Saccharomyces cerevisiae S288C: one gene and its partner. The gene in region 1 interacts genetically with each later gene. Each region holds a gene or a part of one and is shown on either strand. Other genes may lie near its edges.

Region 1 (12,315 bases):
TCATCGATGTCGGAGGGCAAATCATAATTAATGACATGTGTGACATTCGGTATATCCAAACCTCTCGCTGCTACAGCTGTTGCGACCAGGATATCAGCTACGTTAGCTTTGAAAGCAGATAAGGCACGTTCACGTTCAGCCTGTGTGCGGTCACCATGTATGGCTGTAGCTTTGAAATTTTGCATGATCAAAAAATCTGTGAGTTGATCCGCCATTCTTTTCGTTTCAACAAAAATCAATGTCAATCCCTTATGCTCTGCAGACAGTAAATCTAACAACGCAGACTTTTTGTCCATGTCATCGACATATAATATTCTTTGCGTGATATTTTCTGAGGTGGAACCGACTCTTCCTACTGATAAAAAAATATAATTATCTAAGAAATCGCGTGCCAAATGCTGGATATCTACTGGGAATGTGGCGGAAAACATCAAGGTCTGTCTATTTTCCACAGAGGGCATATCACATTCTTCAACTATATGGCGAATTTGGGGTTCGAATCCCATATCTAGCATTCTATCAGCCTCATCCAATACCAGGTATTTGATATTAGCCAAAGAAACTTTTCCGCGTTCTAATAAGTCATTCAGCCGCCCTGGTGTAGCCACCAATAAGTCACAGCCGCGGTCAACCTCCCTCATCTGGTTACCGATTGGCGCGCCACCATAAACAACGCATGGCCTAACCCAAGATCTATACGTAAATTTTCTTGCTTCTTCAAAAATTTGGGTAGCCAATTCTCTAGTTGGTGCAAGTACTAAAGCAGATGGATATCCCTTTCTAGAATAAAAGCTCTGTGCTTTCTCGGGTACTGGAGAGGGCCCAGACCTGAATAGCTCCGTGAAGAGCGGAAACAAAAACCCACCTGTCTTACCTGAGCCCGTTTGTGCGCATGCCATCAAATCCCTACCTTTGGTAACTATTGGAATAGAATATTTTTGTACTGGAGTAGGTTTGGTGAAACTAGCAAGTTTGATATTTTCCATTAACAGCTCATCCAGAGGGGGAGAACTAAAATCTAGTATAGGTTCAGGAACATCTTTTCCAGATGCATCTACGGGAATATTATCGTAATTATCAAACTTTATACCAGATGAATGGTAATCGGGATCGTCGTGTACACCAAACAGTTCGGCTTCTAATTTCGCGTTCTTAGGCCCCGGTATATGCTTGCCATTTACCCATCTATTTCCAGATGATTTGTAATTTGAGCTGCCTCCGCGGTTATAGTTCGCACTCGTCCCTCCATTTCTTTCCTTAGAAAAGCCAAAAAACCCGCCATTGTTCCCAGTTTGCCTTCCAGCACGTCTGAAAAAATCACCACCCGTAACCTTATCTTCCTGTTTTGGGGTACTTCTTTCGAATGATGGTTTTCCTCTACTTCTCAAGTGCGGTGGGACATAAGATGATTTGCCGCCACCACCACCATTCTCTTTGTTGTTGATGCTTAAATTAGATACCTTCTGTGGCAAGTCTGCCATTTTTTCTTGTAATACTTTCACTCAAAGGGGTTTTTCTTAAAATATCCTTTAACTGACACTACCGATATCTTTTATAATCATGAATAATCCTTGTTATAAAATAAAGGCATTACTTCAGAGATGACCTTAAGTAACCTTCCCTTAAAATTGTTAAAGAACTCGCGGGGTAATATTTACGTTGACAGTGATATTTGTTTTGAGAAATCAAAGAATGAAGAACTTAGATGTAGAGTTAAAGGAGCAATACGAATAGGTGCCGTGATGAAGAAAAAAAATCATACAGACATTTGCTACAACCCTTGGTGAGACTGTTTCGATCATTTTTCTTTTTCTTTTTCTTTATTTTAGAAAAAATTGAACGAAATGACATTGGCAGAGTTGCTTGGACGGTCGAGAATAGCTCAAGTAGCTAACAATCATAAACCATTGACATACACTGGCAAAAAATTTCATCCAACACATCAAATCATCGAAACTAAGCCATCGACACTATACAGACAAGAATGGGGGTTGAAATCCGCTATTCCTTCGAAAATTAAATCTCGATATTTGGTGTACAACGATTTGGATACGTTGGAAAGAATTACCACATTCGAACCTAGAGGCGGTACGCAATGGAATAGGCTAAGATTTCAAGAAATGGGAGTACCAATTGTGTCTAATATAGGCAGACAAAATCCATTTTTCAAGTACATATCTCGTCCTGAGGATGAGTCTCATGCTAAATTGTCCTTATTCAAAGAAATGAAAGGAGATACAGATATTTCGCCTGCTGCTATGAAGAAGCGTTTGAAGAAGATAACAGCACTAATTAGATCGTTTCAAGATGAATTTAAAGAGTGGCTGGTGGAAAATCATCCGGATGAATTGAAATTGAATTCTAATAAGCTGGAAGACTATGTAGTGAAGTTTCTAAACAAAAAGTTGGAAACAAAAACGAATAAAAAATTTAACACTGAAATCATTGGTACAGGTGGATTATCATACAGCTTGCCAGGAAAGCTAAAAAACTCACCAAATGGTGTCATTCAAAGGACTGTAGTACCCGGTAGAATCTTGAACGTTGTTAAGGAGAACAACGACAATAAATGGCTGGCAGCTATTGGTGGGTTTGTGGCCGATGTGGTATTTTTCCAATCACCACCTAGTTCCTTTAACTCCATGGGAGATTTCATCAGAATGAAAACGTTCTTGTTCGAGATCTTGGAGGCATCTATGGAGAAAAATGGTTCTGTTTCGATGCACGCTAGATTACTCGAACCACAAAATGACAAGACCAGAGAATTTTTCAATAAGAGACCAATTTATAAACCATTGACCTCTAGAAGGGCACGTCGACCATCAGTGGGAAACATTCAAGAGGCCAATAACCTTTTGAATATAATCAAGGGAAATTGAGAAGAGAAAAAAAAAATGTGAACAATCAATGTATATTCAGAGTTCTGTAAATAAATAAAGAAAATAAAGTTTACATATTACTAAGGATTTTTGTCGCCTATTTTTACTATTTTTCAGGTGAAATGAAACGTTTTATATCACATTTTGCTATGATAACAAAGTTATTATGATTTTTATGTAGCCTATATTATTGACGCGTTGTTATAGCATTCTATGAATTTGCCTGTCATTTTCCACTTCAGAAAGGTCATCTAATTGCTCCCACCAGTTGAATAAGTAATTCTCGCAAATAATCTTAAACCAAGGCGTAAACTTGTAACTTGGGTCAGCAAACATAGTTTTCAAATCATTTGGTGAAACCCATTTGAAGTCTCTAACTTCATTGACGTTTGGGTTGACAGTCAAGTTTTCTTTAGCGTTGATCTTATAAAATAGGATGTAATCAATTTCATGTTCACCCCATGGTTCATTGCTTGGTGCCATGTAATGGATTCTGTTTAAAAAGTGAAACTTACCCCTTGTCTTAGTTTCATCTTCTGGAATACCTAATTCATGATCTAGTTTTCTCACCGCCGCAGTAATAGCGCCCTTAATCTTATCGTCTAGCTTACCCTTCAAACCTAATTCGTCATCAATACATAGTGGATGAGAGCAGCATGTGTTAGTCCAAAGATCAGGGAAAGTTATTTTTTCAGTGGCTCTTTGTTGTAAAAGTAATTCACCTTGTTCATTGAAAATAAAGACGGAGAATGCACGATGTAGTAAACCCTTTTCAATATTTTCCATTAAATGACAAACTTTCTTGGTACCGGCACCAATAGCATTATCGTCCCAATCCAAAACAATACAATTTTCATTCATTAACTTAATTTGCTCCTCATCATGACCAGAAAAACATGTTTCTCCGCTTTCGTCATTTGACGTCTCACTAGATCGGGTATTAGGTCTTTGTTGTAATGGAATAATTTCAGGAAACTCTTCCAAAATGTCTTCAGGTGTTTGGTTTTGCACTAATTTGGCGTAACTAGATACTGCACCATGGGGCATACTATTGTTGTCGGCAGTCATTGAGGTGTAATGAATTTTTGGCTTATTTTTACTCTTCCTGTATTCCAAATACGAATACTCTAATATTGAATTAAGTGGGATATACGCCTTCTTGTCACTAGAAAACTGTTTCCTGTTAAATAGATAAAAATGAATAAATAAATATAAATGGAGTTAAGACCGAAAAAGAAAGGCAACCCCCATCGACAAGAAAAGAGTTATGAATAATCATGTTTCTTAATAACAATTAAAGGGAAAAGAATCGGCTGGGCATCGTCATTGCGAAACTGTTGACTGGAAAAATTTCAATCACAATTAAGTTTTGTCCATTTCGTTCCAGCAAGAACGGAAACTTTTACCGATAGCAGCGGAAAAAAAGAAAAAAGAAAAAAAAAAGAAATTAATATAGGCAAAATAGCCGCATGAAGCCCTTAATAACCTATACTATTCTGTGACTGTTATTTATTTACCCTCGTAATATTAAAAATGTCCTATACAATTTCTGTAATAAAACCTAATTTTTTTAGGACCCTTGAGTGTTACCCTGCTCATGTTTTTATTTTTGTTTTAGAGAAATGTAAACAACAGTTTGGGAAAGTTTCAAGAATTGTAAACAACTAATCAAGGGATAATACTATTTTACTCTTTCCTTTAAACATGAAGAACTATTTTTTGTTTACGTTTTTTTCTGAATTGAACAATAAGATCTTGTTAATTTTTTTATCGCTTGATCTATTATCAGATCTTCTCTTTTGAAAAACTAGTCCTTTTCCAAATTACAAACTTTCTTTTCGTGTGGAGTTGATCAGTTCAGTTTCTCCAATACTTCTTAAGTCACTGAAAATATAACGAAAAAAAGGGCTCTGGAAGTAAACAGAGAAATTCGACGATATAATATGTCTTCCAAGCATTCAGATCCATTGGAGAGATTTTATAAGCAATTTCAAGCATTTGTTCAAAATAACCCTAATGTCATATCGGCAGCTCGAGCTGCCGCACAAATACCGGAATCTGCAAAAGCTGTTGTAGTACTATCCCCATATTCTTTACAGCATGTGTTCCCGAGAGAATGGGTAACAAAATCGTATAGGAAAACTATAGTCGAACGACCAGAAAGATTATTAGCAAGCTCGATGGGTATATCAGCTGCGATTACAATGTATCCATCCCTTTTCACCTTGAAATCCTCGCATCAAAGGAAAGGTTCATTGATGGCACCTCATGTGCTTAAAGTTCATGGCAGTAGCTGGCCGGCTGAGTTAATTGAACTTTGCCAAATGGCAGATGCTAAATTGCTAAAAGGCGAAATCGAAGTCCCAGATACTTGGAACTCAGGTGATATATACTTGAGCTCAAAGACAATTAAAGCTCTACAGGGAACAATTGGGGCCATTGAAACTGGTGTTGACTCAATTTTCAAAGGACCATCTGCAGAACATATTAGTAACAGAGCTTTTGTTGCTATACGGCCTCCTGGTCATCATTGCCACTATGGTACACCATCCGGCTTTTGTCTGTTAAACAATGCACATGTAGCCATAGAATATGCGTATGATACTTACAACGTCACGCATGTTGTCGTGCTTGATTTCGATCTACACCACGGTGATGGGACCCAAGACATTTGCTGGAAACGTGCGGGTTTCAAACCTGAGGAGGAACCTGAAGATTCATCTTATGATGATTTTGGTAAGAAATTTGCCGAATTTCCCAAAGTCGGTTATTTTTCTATGCATGATATAAATTCATTTCCAACAGAGTCGGGATTTGCCACAAAGGAGAACATTAAAAATGCATCTACCTGTATCATGAACTCTCATGACCTAAACATCTGGAATATTCACTTATCCAAATGGACAACCGAAGAAGAATTCAATGTATTATACAGGACAAAATATAGAACTTTATTTGCTAAAGCAGATGAATTTTTCAGGAGCGCAAAACTAGAAATGAATCAACAAGGGAGACCATTCAAAGGTTTGGTTGTCATAAGCGCAGGTTTCGATGCATCAGAATTTGAGCAAACTTCAATGCAAAGGCATAGTGTCAACGTTCCTACAAGTTTTTATACAACGTTCACCAAAGATGCATTGAAATTAGCACAAATGCACTGTCATGGCAAAGTTTTGTCTCTAATGGAGGGTGGATATTCTGATAAAGCTATATGTTCTGGTGTTTTCGCACATTTGATCGGTTTACAAAACCAAGATTGGGTTAAAGAATGGGGGTCTGAACAAGTCGTTAAAGAGATTGTTCGTGGTTGCAAACCGGCTTGGAAACCCTATAAGACAAAAAGAGCAAAAGATGTCATAAGAATATGGGCAGAAGAAGTTATCAGGCTGGGACGAGCAATGATACCGGAATTCGATGATATCATTTTTAAAGACGCAGTTAACAGCGCACCTTCTAATTCTCTACTAAAGGCTACTGTCGAACCAGCATCCACGTCGACAATTGCTCAAAGAATAATCAGATCTCATAGAAGCAACGCTTCCCCAGAAAAAGAACTTCATGAAAACAAGCCGAGAAGCACGGAAAAACAGGAACAAAGGGAAATTAGAAGCGATACCAAGGTCAAGCAGCTCTCGTCAAATAATAGAGCAGCTGAAACCCAAATTCCGTTTTTGCAACAAGAATTTTCCAGTGAGGATGAAGATGAAGAATACGTTTACGATGAAGAATTGAACAAAACTTTCAATCGCACGGTGGAGGATATTACCATTGATGATATTTCTAGACATTTGGAGACCTTAGAAATTGAAAAAAAAGGTGATGAAGATTCAGACCATGAGCTAAAAGAAAAAAATTGGAAAAACTCGCACCAACGCCGTCTACAAGGTAATGGAATGTATAAAATTCCCTCCAATACGAAACCGCATCGCATAAGACAGCCTCAAAACGCAAATACACCAACTTATGACGATAGTGATATATCAATGATTTCTCATGTTTCAAGAAAACATACAACAAGAAGTGGTGGAAGATGGTGATACCAATGCATATATAATGTTGTCTTGAACCCACTAAAGAAGTGACGCATATATTACTTTTTTGTATTTAGTAACACAATTTTTCTATTTTTATATTTCCTTGTATAGTTAGTAATTTTAATTTTTTTCCTTCTTTATCTCAGCTCTTCGACCATTTGGTCAAGAAGTTAGTTTTTTTCTCTTATTTTATTTGACAATATACTAATTTTATTATATGGTATTGTAAATAACATTTGAGGAATAAAAAGACAGTCACTCTATAAGCTTTATCAGCCTGACATTTTTTTATTATTACAAATATATCGTTGAAAGAAAGAAGCCTCTATACATCTCGCCCTCTTTCTATCATTAAATCAATGGAGGTTTACTGGCAACGTTATATTTCTACAATTTTAGACCATCAAACCTGAGGAATATGTATATCTACTTTCTCCCTTTCCTCTTCTTTAACTGGTTCACCACCCTGAAATATACACGCAAAGTCAGTGATGAATGGTTGAAGCATACTAATTGGAATATTTAGAGTTGGGGAAAACACGATGCATAAATTTCTTAGATTCATCTTATTAAACTTACTATTCTCATTGATCCTTACCAGCAGTTCAAAAAGAGCATACATCAACGATAGGTTAGCGTGAGGAACTAGGCCAGATTCAATAAGTTCCTTAAACCCCAATGATATTTGAACAGGATTATTATGATTTTCATCAACTACTCTTTTAAACGACAAAAATTGTTCGTCACCAAATAATAAATGGGGCAACTTTCTCAAGTACAACTTTAGTAACCCACTTACAGTATTCACACCAATGTAAAGACTTGGAGATGCCTCATCATCTTTAGCTTCAATACTTTCATTGTACCGACATAAATCTACATCGTACTCTTTATCAAACCTTTCTTGTAAAGTTTTGATAACTGTACTGGACCCGCTTAGTCTAAATATGCCTTCTTCCTGGATACCACGGTTTTTGTAAAGATACTCTAAGCAACGATAAACTACACTCGGTAAATCGTAAACGTTTTGGTACTTATGCGAACTCAATCTTAAACACGTTTCTAGTGACGAGCCAAATATTGCAGTGGACACATGTGGACCCGTAGAAGAATTTGACGAAGAGGATACTTCCATTAATTTTTTGCTTGGTGACTTAATGATAGAGTCAGGAGATGTTGGAGAATCCGAATCATTTGAAATTGTAATACCTATATGGTTCATTGCACTCGCCGGGCCGGTTAATTTTTTAAAAGGGAATAAACTTCTCATTTTGGCTCTCCTACTATCCTTCTCCTCCTCTGCATTCCCGCTTGAACTTGCTAGGAAGTTAGAGTGAGAAGATGGGTTTGAGTCAATACCATCGCTATTAGCAATGTTATTGCTACTATTACTAATATTGTTATTATTATTATATTCTTGGGTCAAATCAGTGACATATGATGGAGTATCGGTTGCTGAGATAGTTGCGTTTCCAAATTTAGAATGGTGTGTTCCTGCGCTCAAGTGAGATGCAGAATCAGTATCGTTTGCATTCCTCGAGCTAGATAACGATAAACTTTGTGAAGGATCAATGTAATCACTAAACGCAGAAAGCCATAATTCACGTTCCTTCGACGTTTCAGTACAAATATAATACTTTGTTGAGGTTGACAGTCCGCTTTTCTTATGCTCAGTGATCAAAAACCCATTTCTCGTTCCAAATCTATCTTCAGGGAGATTGGGTATAAGTTCTATAGAAGATTGTCTCAATTTAATAGTTTCAGTCAACTGATTTTTGTCAAACAATTGTAAAACATCATCGCGCAAAATACCGTACCGAACTCTCCATGTACTATTACCTGTTAGAGTCTTTGGTCTTCTCAGCAAAAGTGATCCGTCTTTCACATTATCATCCATCATTGGAGGTGTCATTACTGTATCTGTACTAATAAATTGGGCGATTTTTAAACCAACATTTTTGGGAAATTCAGGGACACTGAATATGCTTGTATAATACTGATTCAATATGTTCTTTCGCGTATCCACTTTTGTAGGTGATAAAGTCTGAAATAATTGTCTATCAGGTAACGTGGGCAATGGTAAATCGGGAACATGTGATTTCATATATACATCTAATTCGCGAACTTTATGAATAGATTTTGAAAATTTAAACATCTCCTTACCGGATTTCCTGTCTATGATTGCAATTAAAATGGATAAATCATCTTCATTATCCCTGTACAATGTGCTCAGTACTTCAATCTGGATAGTGCCAAAATCCTCCGGTTGAACGAATAATGGAATATCCGACTTAAGACTTTGGGCCACAGACTTCACGGTGCTCACGCTACTTGCATGAGGTCTTCTAAGTGTCTTCAACGAACCTTGGGGTGTTGAGCTAAATGTATTCAAGGTATTGGTTGAATGGATGGATGCCGTTTCTCCAAGTTGTTTTTGTTTTGATGAACTTTCCACGGGAGGATTTGGAGGAAGAGAAGCATTTTGACTTGTTGTTGACAATTTTGTAGAAAGATTGGGGAGTGATGAAGTTAACACAGGTTTCTTTAAATTTTTTGCACTTTGAGCACCAAAATTATCATCCTTTTTATTCAAGATAACCGGAGAAGCCAAATGGCTTGATAAAGGAGTAGAGTTTTTTATATTTCCACTAGAAGTAGGTGAGAAAAAAGTTGGAGGCGCTGGAGGTGGGGGTAAAGATTCGTTAATCGTGGATTTTATGGACAGAGGATCTTTACTGTCCGTATTGACTAGATCCTCTTCGCCAAATGAGGAGTCAAGTAATTGGGTGAAGTCGTCAAGTTTTTCTTTAGATGCTGGAGAGAAACCCAAAGCCTTGTTTTCACCCTCCTTGACTTCCAAAAGGGATGATGGACTTTTGGCTGCTGAAGTAGGAGTTCCAGTAGTGTATGCAGAGGATGTTATAGAAGAATAAACGCGGTCATTTTTTTGTATCGCGTCATTAGTTAGTTGTTGACTTTTACTTTCAGTCAGCTCATCTAAATTATTAGAGGTACTGGCCTTTAATGGAGAATGCAAATGGTTGTTGATAACAGCCGTCATTCTGTTAGGATTTTGAGGGGAACGCAAACGTTCTTGCAATGGAGATTTCGAACCTTTATTAGGTGATTTTATGGTTATCCTAGACGTCGTATAGGTAACAGAGGCAGCTGGGCTAGCCAACTGTTCTGAATGTATTTTTGTAGGGCTTGAGACAGATCTATTGATAATTTTGGGAGATGAGAAGCTACTATTTGCTTCTATTTCATCGTTTAGTATCATGTTCTGTAAATGCTTCCTACTTATTGAAGTATTTGATGTAACACCTATTTGAGGTACTGTAGGCGTTACACTTGTTTCAAGTGCAACGTCTGAACCTTGTTGCAATGGAGGGGACAATGTCGGTATTGGCAAATTAAGACTCTTGATATGCGCTTTCCTTTCAGCAGATCTTGGGGGTAACACAAATGATTGATCGTTAACGTATGAATCTCTTGAGTCATTTTGAACTTGCTCAAGCACAACTTCTAAGGAAGCTTCTCTGTTTTTTTGTAACATATCAATAACCTTTTCCAAACTCTCAATTTCAGTTTCATATTCTTGGACTTGTAGCTTTAGCTTAATGTTTTCCGTAAAAATTTCATCATAGGACGGATTTCTTTCTTTTCCTGAACATGTTCCTTTTTCTATATGTTCTATAGATTTGTCCTTTTTGGATCTATGATCATTGTACTGCGCCAACAATTCAAGGGTGGTACTACCACCATGAGTTGTGGTCAAATTATCTGTCATTGCGTGCTGTTAGTTGAGTGTGAGTTTATTCTAGAATATACACACAGATACTCCTAGCAGCCAGTGTTTCAACAAACGTGATGTTGTATATGCCTGATGTAATCACGAACTCGAACAAAAGGCAAAATGGTAGAAGGCAAGGACAAAGAAGAAAAGAGAAAAAACTTCCAGATACAAAGCTAACACACAAAGGTAAACGGTGATTAAAATGGATATATCGTTGATGTATTTAACAATCTTGAAAAATTCCGTTTAAAAAACATACCAATACGCGCAATAAAAACGGTTCTTATCTGGTACTTTACCTAGTCAGACGATTATTGTTCTTTATAAAACGGCCGCGTTTTTTTTCCAACATCACCGCCGCCATATAACTTTCGACATTCTTAGAGTTGTGGTATAAAGAGCAATGCATATACGTATGTAATCCTAATTGAAATGCTATCTTTGTAACATAATGAATGGTTCAGTTGAGCACATACTTACCATCACCTCCCTCGACAAATATGTCCTGCACATTCTCGAGTGTGATGAGTGTCTGCTTTATGACCATGTCGGCAACTGTGCTGCCGATATGTGGCAAAGCTGTAACATCCCATCTGCGAAGTAACTCTTGCTTAACGCGTGTTTCCTCATTTTTAAACACATCGAGACCACAGCTTGCCACTTTTCCAGATTCAAGAGCGTCTAGTAGCACATCTTCATCTATGCATGTGCCTCTCCCAACGTTAACTATCCTGACACCATCTTTACACCAGGCCAAACTTTTACGATTGATAATATTGTTTGTAGAGGCCGTACTGGGCAAGGCCAAAATGATCAAATCCGCATTCTTCCAAGTATTTGGATCATCTAGATCAGAATGGTACTTAGCGTTGTAATCAAGTAGACTCTTTTGGACGGGACCGGTCCTTTTGTAGTATTCAATGCTCATGTTGAACACTTTGTGCAAGTTAGACCCTATATTTTGTCCGATGGAGCCAAACCCCAATATTAGAACTTTTTTATTCATTGGAGATTCCATTTTTTTCCCGCCAACCGTGTACTTTTCTGCTAAATGTACCACTTTCCTATCCTTGTTAGGCTTGCATTTGTCTGTTCGAGAGGGAAATTTCATTTCCTGACCGTGGTAACTATCTGTAACAATTTCATACGAGTCACTAGAGATATATTTCTTACACTGTTCAACATTACCATTTTCCACGTATTTAAAACAATATTCCCAAAATGAAGTCATTCTAAAGCAGCTAATTGCTAGGAAAATAGCCAATTCTGTGACATGGTCAGCAGCATGTGGTCCAATGTTGCATAAAGTGATACCTTTCGATCTTAATAACTTACCGTCAATAAAGTCACAGCCGACCCATGGTACAAGGATTACTTTTAAAGATGCGGGGAAGAATTCAATATAACTCGAAGGGTTTCCTAACACAGTGAAAAACTCCTCAGTGAGCCAAAAGCCGTTTATTCTATGAGTTTCCAAAAATTTAACAAAATCATCCTTTGTGGACATCTCATATTTATAGAATTCTACCCTTTCTGCCAGTTTGCGATATTCAGGAAGATGACTGGCGACTTCCCATTGGGTTTTATAAGGCACCAAAATTCTTGG
Region 2 (12,103 bases), on another chromosome or scaffold:
GAATACAAATTTGAAAGATACGAGGAGAAAGTTAGTAAACTAATGCTACTTTTAGTCTTCTATTTTTTTCGCAAGCACGATCATATAATCAATACCACACAAAGATTTTTGGTAGCTACGGTCCTAAGAAAATTAAATTCCCTCTCTAATCTGGGTGAGACCGGAATCGCATCAGGTCTTATTAATATGGGGTCAATTTGAAGAATTCAAACTATTTTTTAAACTGTTGTGACAATTCTTTAGCACAAAGAGTTCAATTTTGAAAATCTACCAATGTATATAATTTTTGCCGTTGTATTAGACAGGTTGTGCTCACTGTATATAGTCTCATTTAATAAATTTTTTTTTTTGAAGTGCAAATACCCTCAGTTGACATTCCAAGAACTATGGTTACCCACGAAAAACATCAATATGTTTTGAATTGTTATGTAAATTATCATTTACAAATTTTCTGGGCATATTGCATACCGAGGTATGTAATTTCAGCAAACTCGAGTGCTGCTTTCCATCCATACGGACAACTCAAGAACAAATGGGTACAATATAGTTGTCATTATTATGGCAAAAATATTGAGGGTTCAAAGGTTTTGCGTATTTTAACCACAGGCTAGAGGGGTTACTAGTCTCTGTCTTATAAAATGTTAGATTATAAAGTACAGAGAACAAATATCTACATGTTTTTTATGCTAAATTTGAAAGTTTAGGTGATTTATTTAAGAAAAACTAATCTTTAATGGACTTTTACCGGCTGTTTTGAAGAAATTGTCAAGAAATTCCTCTATAAATTTATTCAATTATCTATTATTTTCTAAGCAGTAAGCTATTTACCATTGTAAATGATTCTTTGGGAAATTGTGCCTTTCAAAGAGACACAGTTCCTCTTTCTTGCAGCCGGAAAGTTTAAAAAATTAATTTTCTAATTATTAAGTGTCAGATAGAACATTTACACAACAAAACATCAATATTTACAAAGGATATATAAAAGTTTCGTTTTCTAAATCAGTCAAATCAAAGACTGCCAAATTGTTCTCGTGGGTTACCACTTTCCCTTCTTCAATGGAAGAAGGATTTTCGCTTTCAATGAGTTGAATTCTGTCCAAATAATTTTGTAAATTTTCGTCATAATTTTTTAGTCTTTGATTATTCCTTCTTTTTAGTATGAAATGGATCAGTAACAAAATGGCTGGTGCAAGAGAGAATGATAAAACGATTTGAACAATCCAGGCAGGTAAAAAGCGAGGAGAGTCCTTCTCTCTCCATATTTGTGGTGATATGATATTAGCAATTCCCATCGCAAATAAGGACACCGAACTTCTTGTGAGTTTTTTGGTGTACCCAGATGCACTTGAACTTGCCCAGCTAAGAGCTATAATAAAAGGAATACCAAATATTTGTCCTGCCATACAGATATTTGCTAAGATACCAATCTTATTGTCCCATGGTAAAGCAGCTGCAGCGATGGATCCCACCAATGCTGGTAAAGTCCAAAAGATGGCTGTTAAAGCTGAAATATTTTTCCATTTTGCTAACATCAACGTAGCGATGAAGGCACAAACGACGGCGAAACCAGCACCGGCAACTGATACCAATGTCGAACCTAGAGCATCAACTCCACCCATTCCTTCAAATAGCAGGTTCTGTTGATAGGGCAGATTGTTGGCTAACTGTTGAAGAAGAAAAAACAATCCAAATAACCAGGTTATATAATCTTTCATTGCCTCTCTGAATTGACTCTTTTTGAAGACTTTTTGTTCAATGGAAGAGCCTGTGGATGCCTGAACTCTCCTGATAATCCATACCCTTTCTTGTATTGAAAAGAATTTCACATCAGCAGGATTATTAGGAAACCACAGAATTACAACAACCGTCATGATAAAAGTCAAACCACCAATGATGATAGTGAATATTTTCCATAACGAAATGCTGGGATTTGTTATATGAAGAACACCATAAGCAATAAACCCAGTTGGAATTGGAGACCCCATACATGCTGCAAAGAAAAATGGCTGAGCAGCAGCTCTTTCTGAAGCATCGAAGAACATACCCATAGTGGTAATTAATATCGGGATAACAACACTCTCTGTTAGCCCCAAGAAAAATCTCAACGCAACGACACCGGAAAAGTTGTATGCGGTACAACTTAGGAAAATAAGTATAGTCCATGTGGCCAACAACCCACCCAAGAATTTCCCAAGTGGTAACTTTTGAGCCAAGTATTGTCCAGGAAATTGGCCGATTGCAAAACCAACGTAAAACAGCGTATTTACAGTATTGTAAGTATTTTGGGTAAGACCTGTATCTTCAAAGAAGCCTAGAATCGAATCATAGGATAAAGTGGCTTTGTCCATGTAAAGTAAAAGGTTAATGGCAGAGACAAAGGTGAATATTGTGAGAAAAAGCTTTCTCTTTAATTTTTTTTCTTGTTCAGGCGTGATTTCTGGAACTGCTGCGTCATTCTCCTCCATGAATGCTAGCGTAACATCAGCGAGTCTCGAAGGAACTAGGATTTCATCAGAAGAGGAGATCGAGTCTGCTCCAATTTTTACGTCAACTTTTGACATTTCTTTTTTGTTATATTTTCTTTTTTATTTTCTCTTGATGTTTTGTTCAACCTTCAAGAAGTGCAACCTGAATAGCTAAATGTCGAATCAATCGTCTGTTTAAGTACTTTGATTTTTCCGACCTCTTCAATTCAACAGGTACGCATTTTTAACAATACCTATTCATCTTGACGTCCAGTTCCTAGGGACCTGCGAAATGTTTTAGCTATCTACATATTACATCACCGTTCCAGTGAGGGGAGCCACCGTAAATGGAAGAACTTCGAACACTATTGCATGCTGCAAAGACGTGCCTTCGATGCTCAGTGACTGAAATGTACAAGGGGTAGCCAGATGTCTTACATCAAATGGGGTGCCTATTTTTTTTTTCAGAAGCCACACATTTTTGTTTCTGCAATGCCACCTGCGACTTCGAAAAAGATTCGCGGAGAGTTAACAGTCATCGCCACAAGTCTGGTCCTTATCGGCCAATATGGGTGGCGCTATGTACGTTGTGTCACACTATTTTAGTCAGCAGCGCAGACCAAAGACTCCGTAACATCACAGAGAACTTTGATTATCCGTTATCTTGTTAAGTTTTCGCCGCAAAGCTCGGATGCTGAACTCGGATGTTGAACTCGGATGCTAAGAAGATATCCGTGATTTGCATCCGAGCTTGGCGTACTATTGCTATAGTGGTAGCCACAATTTAGAATTGATACTCGGAACCAGCAAGGGGCAGATGGATTGAATGTAGTTGATCGCGTGTCACGTGACCAAATCGTACTGGTAAAGAACTGAAAGCACACGCAAGTAGACAAAATCAGCATGTCATTTTTTCTGAAGAAATCTTTCATAAAACTATGAGTCTTCCCAATCAGGTGTGGTGAATATCCAGATGCTCTGGCCAATCTGTAACATGGTGAGGCTTAAGAAATTTTTTACATACTGGTCAGAGCACGATTGATGGTGCCATGACTTTCCGCTTTCGCCATTGCGAAGGGTGTTGCATAGTGTATACAAAATGCATGATACATAACATCTCAGAAGGACAGATATGAAAGGCCTAATTGTCGGAAGCAAAAGTCAGAGCTCACGTCCATACAATTGAGTTGTGCTGATTAAGGATTTCAAGGGCGAGCGCGCATCTAGTTAGCCGAAGGAAAGCGGGCTTGGCATCTGGAATCTGTTCATTTTTGAAGTCATATGATTTTTCATGCCATATATTTATCACAACGCAAAGCATTTACAACCAAGTAACCAATGAGAACGGTGGCCCCGTGATAAAACCTCACGTATGACACACTGGAACATAATTTTATTGTTTTTCACCTCTTAGTGTTTTCTCTTTCGCGAGGCAAAATCTGAAGACATGAAATGCAATACTCTTATGCTGCGCCAATGACGGTAGCACTAGGGTATTGTGACGTTATGCAAAAAGAGAGAGAAAGAACAATATGAAAATAGAGAGGACGGACATAAGTCTTCCGTGGAAGAAAGAAACCATCGTTTTTGCAGATGAGATTCTTTTTCCAATGCGGAAATTAGCGGAACTTCTCAACATAATAGATTGTGCTGGAAAAAGTTTAAAGGGAAAGCCGCGGATTTAATTTGCCATTAGTTCTTGGCTTTCCTGAAGATATGATTACTAACACAAGGATATTAAGGAAAAAAAGTAGGCGATGAAGACCCTCAAGTACTCAACTAACGTATAAATAACGGCTCCCGCTTCTATCAACTATGCTTACAATCACTCTTGTATTCATAAGCGCTAAGGCGTGATAACTCAACTTTTACAAAAGAAAATAAAAAAGAGATCAAAAAATGAAAGTATTTATAACTGGTGCTTCTGGCTTCATTGGTTCTGCCGTATTATCTGAACTAATATCCTCGGGTCATGAAGTTGTTGGCTTGGCAAGGTCAGACGAGGCTGCTGCAAAGATTAAGTCGATTGATCCTGCTGCAAAAATCCTTCGCGGTGATCTCAAGGATCTGGAAATTTTGAAAAAAGGTGCCACTGAATCTGATGGCGTTATTCATTTAGGATTTGTGCATGATTTTAAAAATTTTGAACAGTGCTGCGAAATTGACCGTCAGGCCACTGTAGCTATGCTAGAGTCACTTAAAGGTTCTAACAAGCCTTTCTTATATACGAATGGTACACTTTCTTTGCGACCAAACAAAGTTGCTAACGAACAGGATGGTATTGATGAAGATTCCAAAATTTTGCGTGCTGTCACTGAACAGGTTGCCTTGAGTTACAAAGACAAAGGTGTTTCAGCAAGAATTGTCAGACTCCCATTCTCGGTTCATGGCAAGGGGGACAAGGCTTTTGTACCAATATTAATGAATATTGCCAAAGCTGCCGGAAAATCTGGCTATGTCGGACAAGGCACAAACGCTTGGGCGGCTGTACATCGTTTGGATACGGCTCCTCTGTTCAGACTTGTTTTAGAGAAAGGAAAAACAGGACAAGTGTATCATTGCGTTGGTGAACAAGGTATACCATTCAAAGATATTGCGCGTGTGATTGGAGAAATTTTGAATGTTCCCGTGGCCTCTATCCCTGTTGATGACGCGGAAAGTCATTTTGGCTTCCTCACTTGTTTTGTCACTAGAGATGGCCCAGTTTCAAGCGAAGGTACCAGAAAAGAGCTGGGATGGCAGCCACAACAAATCGGTCTTCTTGAAGATATCCGTGCGAACTATAGCTTAAACTGACTTGAAGCTTATATTATGCGTTTTTTCTAAGAGCGCCATAGCATGTAACGTTTTTTACATACTAGTTAGCTTTATCTATATAGTCTACTGTGCAGCTTAAAATACCCAACTCATGCGTCTCATTGGACGAGCTCTTGGCCCTTGGAAAGGTGCTATATTAGTATATAGGGGAATGATGACAAAAGCCTCAATGTGGCTTGAGTCGATTTCTTATTTGGCGCCACAGGGCACATGGAGTTTATTTATCATACTACTAACATAAAGAAGGTATGTAGGCAATACAACAAGAATGCTGGAAAAGTTAAGGAGTCAGTAACAGTTCTTGATGACAGAAACATATAAAAAGGTGTACTATTGCTGTATAATCGGCCCTTTCATACTTGTACAAACATAGCACAGTAACCCAGTTAAAATATGTCTCCTGCAGCAGCTCAAACAGCAATCCCTCTTCCATCTACCGATTTACCAGTCAAAATCATTACAAATGGGTTGAAAAACCTGAATTATACCTCCAAGCAAGGTTACGGGAATTTTGATACCCATTTTTATGATGGCCAAGATGAGGTCTCTCCATCTGGTTTATTGAAAATCCGTAAATCTTATAGAGAGAAATCGAAGTATCCAGATTATTTGCCTACATGGGATCCTACTGAAAAGTATGGCCCGCTGGAATTTCACGAATACCATGATCCTGCTTTGAGAGCTGACGGTAACTTTTCAAACCTTTTTGCAAAAGAAAACGTTGGTCAACTAAAGGTGAAGAAGATCACCCCGAAATTAGGTCTCGAGATCAATGGGATCCAGCTAACTGATCTTTCTGATGCTGCAAAAGATGAACTCGCTTTGCTTGTCGCCCAAAAGGGAGTAGTTGTCTTTAGAAATCAGAATTTTGCTGACGAGGGACCCGATTATGTGACTGAATACGGAAGACATTTTGGCAAGTTGCACATTCATCAAACTAGTGGCCACCCTCAAAACAATCCTGAGCTGCATATCACTTTCCGAAGACCTGATGCGGAAGAATTTGCAAGAGTTTTTGATGACTCGACATCATCTGGTGGCTGGCACACAGACGTCTCTTACGAGTTACAGCCACCTTCTTATACTTTCTTTAGTGTTGTTGAAGGTCCTGATGGTGGTGGAGATACGTTATTTGCGGATACGATCGAGGCTTTCGACAGGTTGTCGAAGCCTTTGCAAGATTTCTTGAGCACGCTTCATGTCATCCATAGCTCAAAGGAACAGGCAGAGAATTCACAGCGCCAGGGCGGCATAAAAAGAAGAGCACCTGTCACGCATATTCATCCACTGGTCAGAGTTCATCCTGTCTTGAAAAAGAAATGCTTGTATGTCAATCGTGCATTTTCTAGGAAAATAGTCGAATTGAAAAGACAAGAATCTGAATCACTTTTGAATTTCTTGTACAATCTAGTGGAGAGCAGCCATGATTTACAGTTAAGAGCCAAATGGGAACCTCATTCCGTCGTCATTTGGGATAACCGCAGAGTTCAACATTCAGCAGTGATTGATTGGGAAGAACCAATTCACAGACATGCGTTCAGGATTACTCCACAAGCGGAAAGGCCCGTGGAAGATCTAAAGTTTTTGAATGATGAAAATTATTATCCTTCTTCATTAACTTTGGATATTTGAATTTCAAAGATGCAGGTTGTATATAGCCGGAATTCGTTGCAGAGGCAGTTCCAACGTTGCTCAACTTATTCTTTTTTTTGGTTAAAATTGTGTATAAACCTTAAAATAGCGGCGACAACACTTCTTTTTTATAGTTTATAGTAAACCCCAACCTGTGTACATATAAACTAAAGAAAAACTGTGACGCTTTTATTCTGGTAAAGAAACTCTGAAGTTACAGATCAACTAATTCAGAGCGATATAATGTTGAAGTCAATAAGAAGGAACATCTTCAGTTTATAAACAACTAGTGATCTTATGAGCTCTGTCTACTTTCATTAATTAAGATCCATGTGAAGGTTCCAGAAAAGACTTCCTCCAAAAAAATTATATGCTAGAATGGAAAAAAACTTTTATAAACAATATTCTATAAAGATTATAAAGAATTCTTGATTTTTGATATTCTACTCATGATCTGCTTCATGAGTGTTTGGAGCCTCTGCTTTTCACAACATCTAAAGCACTTGAAAAAACTTTCAATAACCACTGGATATCTTCTAAACCTACGCTTACTCTAATAATGTTGGGGTCGGCCCCAAACTTGGAAACTTCTTCTAATTCTGAGTGGTGCGCCAGATGGACATATGGACATGCTAAGGTAAAGTTAGTACCATTAGAAGGTCCCTTGAATACCTTTAAAGAGTCATAGAATGCTTTTGCATCGCCCTCATTGAAAAAGGCTACAGAGAACAAGCATCCATAGCCACCACGTTCATTACGTACACTTTCGTAGTTCTCAAAGGTCTCCTTAGAAGTAACAGTTGGATAATAAATCTTTTTGCATATTTTCCCCTCCTCGGGTAAAAGCAAATCATTCAACAATATTCCTGTGTTTGCATTAGCACGTAAAGTTCTATCTTCAAAATCCCTGGAATTACGTTCTAAAACTATCGCATCTTCACACCATAACAAATCCTCGAAATTAGCGCTCCTGAAGTACTCACGAGCATATGGATACAGAGATGATTTCGGATTTAAAACGACAGAGCCGCCCATTACATTACTAGCACCATTGAAAAGCTTAGTCAGGGACGTGCTGACTATATCAGCATAGGGCAAGATGTCAACGTTAAGGCCCCCAATAGTATCATCAATTACAATAAAAAAGCCATACTGGTCGGCCAAACTCCTCAATTTTTTCAAATCCGGCATATTCAGCAGAGGATTTGAAGGTGTCTCGACGAAAACGGCAAGAATGCGTTGTTTGCTTGTTTCTAAAAACTTTTGTAATTCGACAACGTCTCTAGAATTTCCAAATCCAAAAAATTTACATTTTCCAAATTTAGTCATAATGACCTGCGTATCTTTGAAAGGGAAGCCGAAGATGCCAACAGTGTCACATAATAATGGCTTTTTCTTTTGGTCAGAGGTGGTCTTGTTTAATGAATCTCCTGAATTCTTCTTCTCCTCCCAAAAGGTGAGTAAATTACGAGCCGTAGATATTGCAGACATGCCACTTGATACAAGATAAACGTCTTCATTTGGGTTGAGGTTGAGTCCCTCCCAATTCGGGGTTTTCTTCTCCAAACCAAAGGGCCTGAAGCGATTCTCAACTATCCTTCCCTTTATCAGGTTCTTTGCTTTCTCCTCCCCCTTCTTTGCTGCAAAAACACCAGCCTCTAGCTCACGCAATACCTGCTCTGAGCCATGATTAGCGCAGTCAAGAAGTTGGTTGACAGACAACGCCAATCGACTAGATACACATTCACCTCTTAATTTCCAATACTCTTTCACAGTCTCGAACTCTTCCTCCGATGCAAGGACAGCAGCAATGGTTAGCACCAATTCCGCCGGTTCTTTCGACGTTTTTGCCCCACGGTTTTTAATCGTAACTGTTTCCACTTCAAGGTGAGCTTTACTTTCAGGTCCTGAGACAGATTTTACGTACTCGAAACACTTTAAACCCAGGTTAACGGATGGAAAAGGACGACAGTTTTCTGAACCTCGCCCAAATTTCTTAACAAAGTAAGCACAAAGCCTCTGGACGGGGGGTTGAGGAAAGTACCTCGGATATCCTGTAGCCATTTTGCCTATTACCTCTGGCACCTTTTCCGCATAGCCTATTGCCGAATCCCATGTAGGAATGCCAAAAGAAACAGCATAGTCTAGATTGCTGGGAAGGGGTTGCCCAAATTCAATTTCCGTCATAATAATTTCCACGATGATTAATAGTTGTTCAGTGGTGGTTGAGTACTAGATTTAAAATTTATGTTTTACCGCACCAGAGAAGAATCACTCAATGCTGGAATTGATGAATTGCATCTTGACAATAGGCATTAATATACTTTTTCAAACACATCATTGTAGTGTGCGGCATAACAACCGTGGCGCGTGTCAAGGACTTCTCGGAACACATGCTAAAGCTCCAGTCTCTATCCGTCTATTCTTTAATTTGCTCGTTTAAGAAAGAATAAAATGCCGTATACAGTTATTTCTTCCGTAAATAAATCTTCTTCAACATCCTTTCTTGAGAGCAGCCACACAAATCTAGAGGTGTCTGACTTAATGCAACACAAGGTCAATCTGAATTCAAAGCTGTGGCTGCATATTCATTAAACATATCTTTGAAGGATATCATTTTAGGTATTGCATTGAGTGGGCTTTTGAATCAAAGCCTAAAATGGGAGTATTATGAAAGCAGAGTAAAAATGTTCAGCACGTTGATCTTGAAAGCAGACGGAAAGTCTTATTAGATGAAATTAATGCTGAAATCTCGAAACTGTTCGCTCAGCTACCATGTGCATGTGTGTGGTGTTGGTATATTTTAGTATACTTCTTGATAAAGGTACCAAAGTACTGTATACACATGATAATAACTGGTTAGTCATCCTGGTGTTTTACTTCTTGGCATTCGGCTCGATCATGAGGATTTCGGGCCGAACCTGCTCCGAAGAAATGAAGAAATCTTTCGGCCAGGCATCATATCACAATGGGTTGCAGAATTTCTCGAAGGAATCACCTGTAGGAGTGAACCTCGAAAAAAAGAAAACACATATTTCATGCTGCATCATCCTTGCAACACAACGCTTCCTGCAGAAGTTTTCGAACAAAAGGCTTGGCAATCCTCACTTACACCCCACTCGCGAATCCACATTTTCACGTGAGCTTGCAACAGAGAATAATAGCGGAAACTTTCCCGTATTACTTAGATATCATATCTTCAGACAGCTAGATATCGAAAATGGAATTTTATTATGTCAAGTTCTGCAGGCGCTAATTATTGTTCAAGTAATGTTTTCGTGAGTCTAAAAGCTCGTACAATAGTTCTTTTTTTGGAACCCATTATGAAGCGGAGTGGATGAATAATACGGAATGAAAAGGGCGATAATGGCAAACAATTACGAGCAAAATTCGATGGATGCCGTATCACATTTGCGACAAAAAAATGATCAAAGATGGTAATAGAGTAAAATTTCACGAATGGAGGGCAGATACAAGAGCGAGATGCCAATAGATCGCAGATTAATGCAGCTGCATTTTCATCAGAAAGAGGTGCGCGTGAACTGTAGGAACAGTAGTGCAATTGGGAGTACGTTAACCACACATTTTGAAATCAAGAAGGAAAGTAGGCGCTGGAAATGACCCGAATCCTATAATCGGACAAGAAGGACATAGAAATCGGTATTTACAGTAAATATTCAAAAGACCTTCTACTACCGTGTGCAAAACAGGGAGTGGATACAAGTGGTTTGATCAAATGGAAGTATTTGATACTTCAGTTTCTCCGTTCCGTGTCCGTTCCCTTAGGTCGCGCTTAGTGCTCGAATTTCTTTCACTGCTTACTAATTCATTCGTTTACGTCTCAAATGATTAATAATGTGCTTCCTGCTAAAGGATAGAAACTTGGTGCTCTATATAAAGTACCTACAAAGGATACATGAATGGCAGAGGTTTCCTGATTTACAATGGAGGTGAAAAGATGAAACAAAAAATGATAATATATGACACACCCGCAGGGCCTTATCCGGCCCGAGTCCGCATTGCCTTGGCTGAGAAGAACATGCTATCAAGTGTGCAATTTGTGAGGATCAACCTCTGGAAGGGAGAGCACAAGAAGCCTGAATTTCTTGCCAAGAACTATTCAGGCACAGTGCCAGTGCTTGAACTTGATGACGGGACTTTAATCGCTGAATGCACAGCCATTACTGAATACATTGATGCACTTGATGGTACACCCACTCTTACCGGCAAAACACCGCTGGAAAAAGGCGTAATCCACATGATGAACAAACGCGCAGAGTTGGAACTGCTCGACCCTGTTAGTGTTTATTTTCACCATGCTACACCTGGATTGGGGCCTGAAGTCGAGCTTTACCAAAACAAAGAGTGGGGACTTCGCCAGCGCGACAAAGCCCTACATGGAATGCATTATTTTGATACCGTTCTCAGAGAACGCCCATATGTTGCTGGTGATTCATTCTCAATGGCTGACATCACAGTAATAGCTGGTCTAATATTTGCTGCAATTGTAAAACTACAAGTGCCGGAAGAGTGCGAGGCGCTTCGAGCTTGGTATAAGAGAATGCAACAGCGCCCCAGCGTGAAGAAACTGCTAGAAATCCGTTCAAAATCCTCGTAAAGTGGCTACTTGAGACAAGTTTTGCGTGGTACGTGGAAACTATATAAAAAGATCCAATCATGAAGCTATTCAAGAGGGTGCCATAGCTATATATAACTGATCGAAATTAGGGCTACAAAATTTAGGGGTTCTTCGCGGCGCCATTCTGTCAAGTAAAAAAATAGCTCAAGCAGTATTCTATAAAAGAATATATATACTATATATGTTAATTGTTTGACGGTGAAAGATTAAACATCAATATCATGATTCGTATTCCTTCCTTTTTATTCGTGATGTTGAGTAAGGTACAAAACCATACCAAACCACTGAAGACAATATCCTTACAGGTAGTTACATTTGCATCGATATTGCCGCGGTAGAGATTACTACTGAAATTCTTTGCTGCTTGCCGACTAGAAATTTAAGAAGATTTCAAATATGTTGGAGCTCACAAGGGGTCACTAAAGTTGGTGCAATAAAAAAAATTTAAGGAAACATGAAATAATGTTTGCAATAGAGAACTTCTAAGTCTGAGCTTGTGACACAAACAACTAATAAATTATGGTCACAGCTCATCCATTGGCCCAATGTA

What was found.
Region 2: mutations in HOS3 (region 1) and HSU1 together harm fitness more than expected from each alone (negative genetic interaction), as found in Saccharomyces cerevisiae (one large-scale study listed by BioGRID).

Annotation. Positions count from the first base shown.
Region 1 is NC_001148.4:324,784-337,098, forward strand, and holds HOS3 (histone deacetylase), read left to right. Parts: upstream 1-4,822; coding exon 4,823-6,916; downstream 6,917-12,315. Other genes in the region: putative DEAD-box ATP-dependent RNA helicase DBP1, read right to left, coding at 1-1,481; mitochondrial 37S ribosomal protein bS1m MRP51, read left to right, coding at 1,845-2,879; isopentenyl-diphosphate delta-isomerase IDI1, read right to left, coding at 3,081-3,947; GTPase-activating protein BEM3, read right to left, coding at 7,317-10,703; YPL113C (glyoxylate reductase), read right to left, coding at 11,170-12,315. UniProt on the Saccharomyces cerevisiae protein: Responsible for the deacetylation of lysine residues on the N-terminal part of the core histones (H2A, H2B, H3 and H4).
Region 2 is NC_001144.5:20,567-32,669, reverse strand, and holds HSU1 (cystathionine gamma-synthase), read right to left. Parts: upstream 9,102-12,103; coding exon 7,374-9,101; downstream 1-7,373. Other genes in the region: YCT1 (Yct1p), read right to left, coding at 966-2,561; YLL056C (uncharacterized protein), read left to right, coding at 4,365-5,261; JLP1 (sulfonate dioxygenase), read left to right, coding at 5,676-6,914; glutathione transferase GTT2, read left to right, coding at 10,831-11,532. UniProt on the Saccharomyces cerevisiae protein: Plays a role in inorganic sulfur assimilation during sulfur-limited conditions; catalyzes the conversion of O-acetyl-L-homoserine (OAH) into homocysteine in the methionine biosynthesis pathway.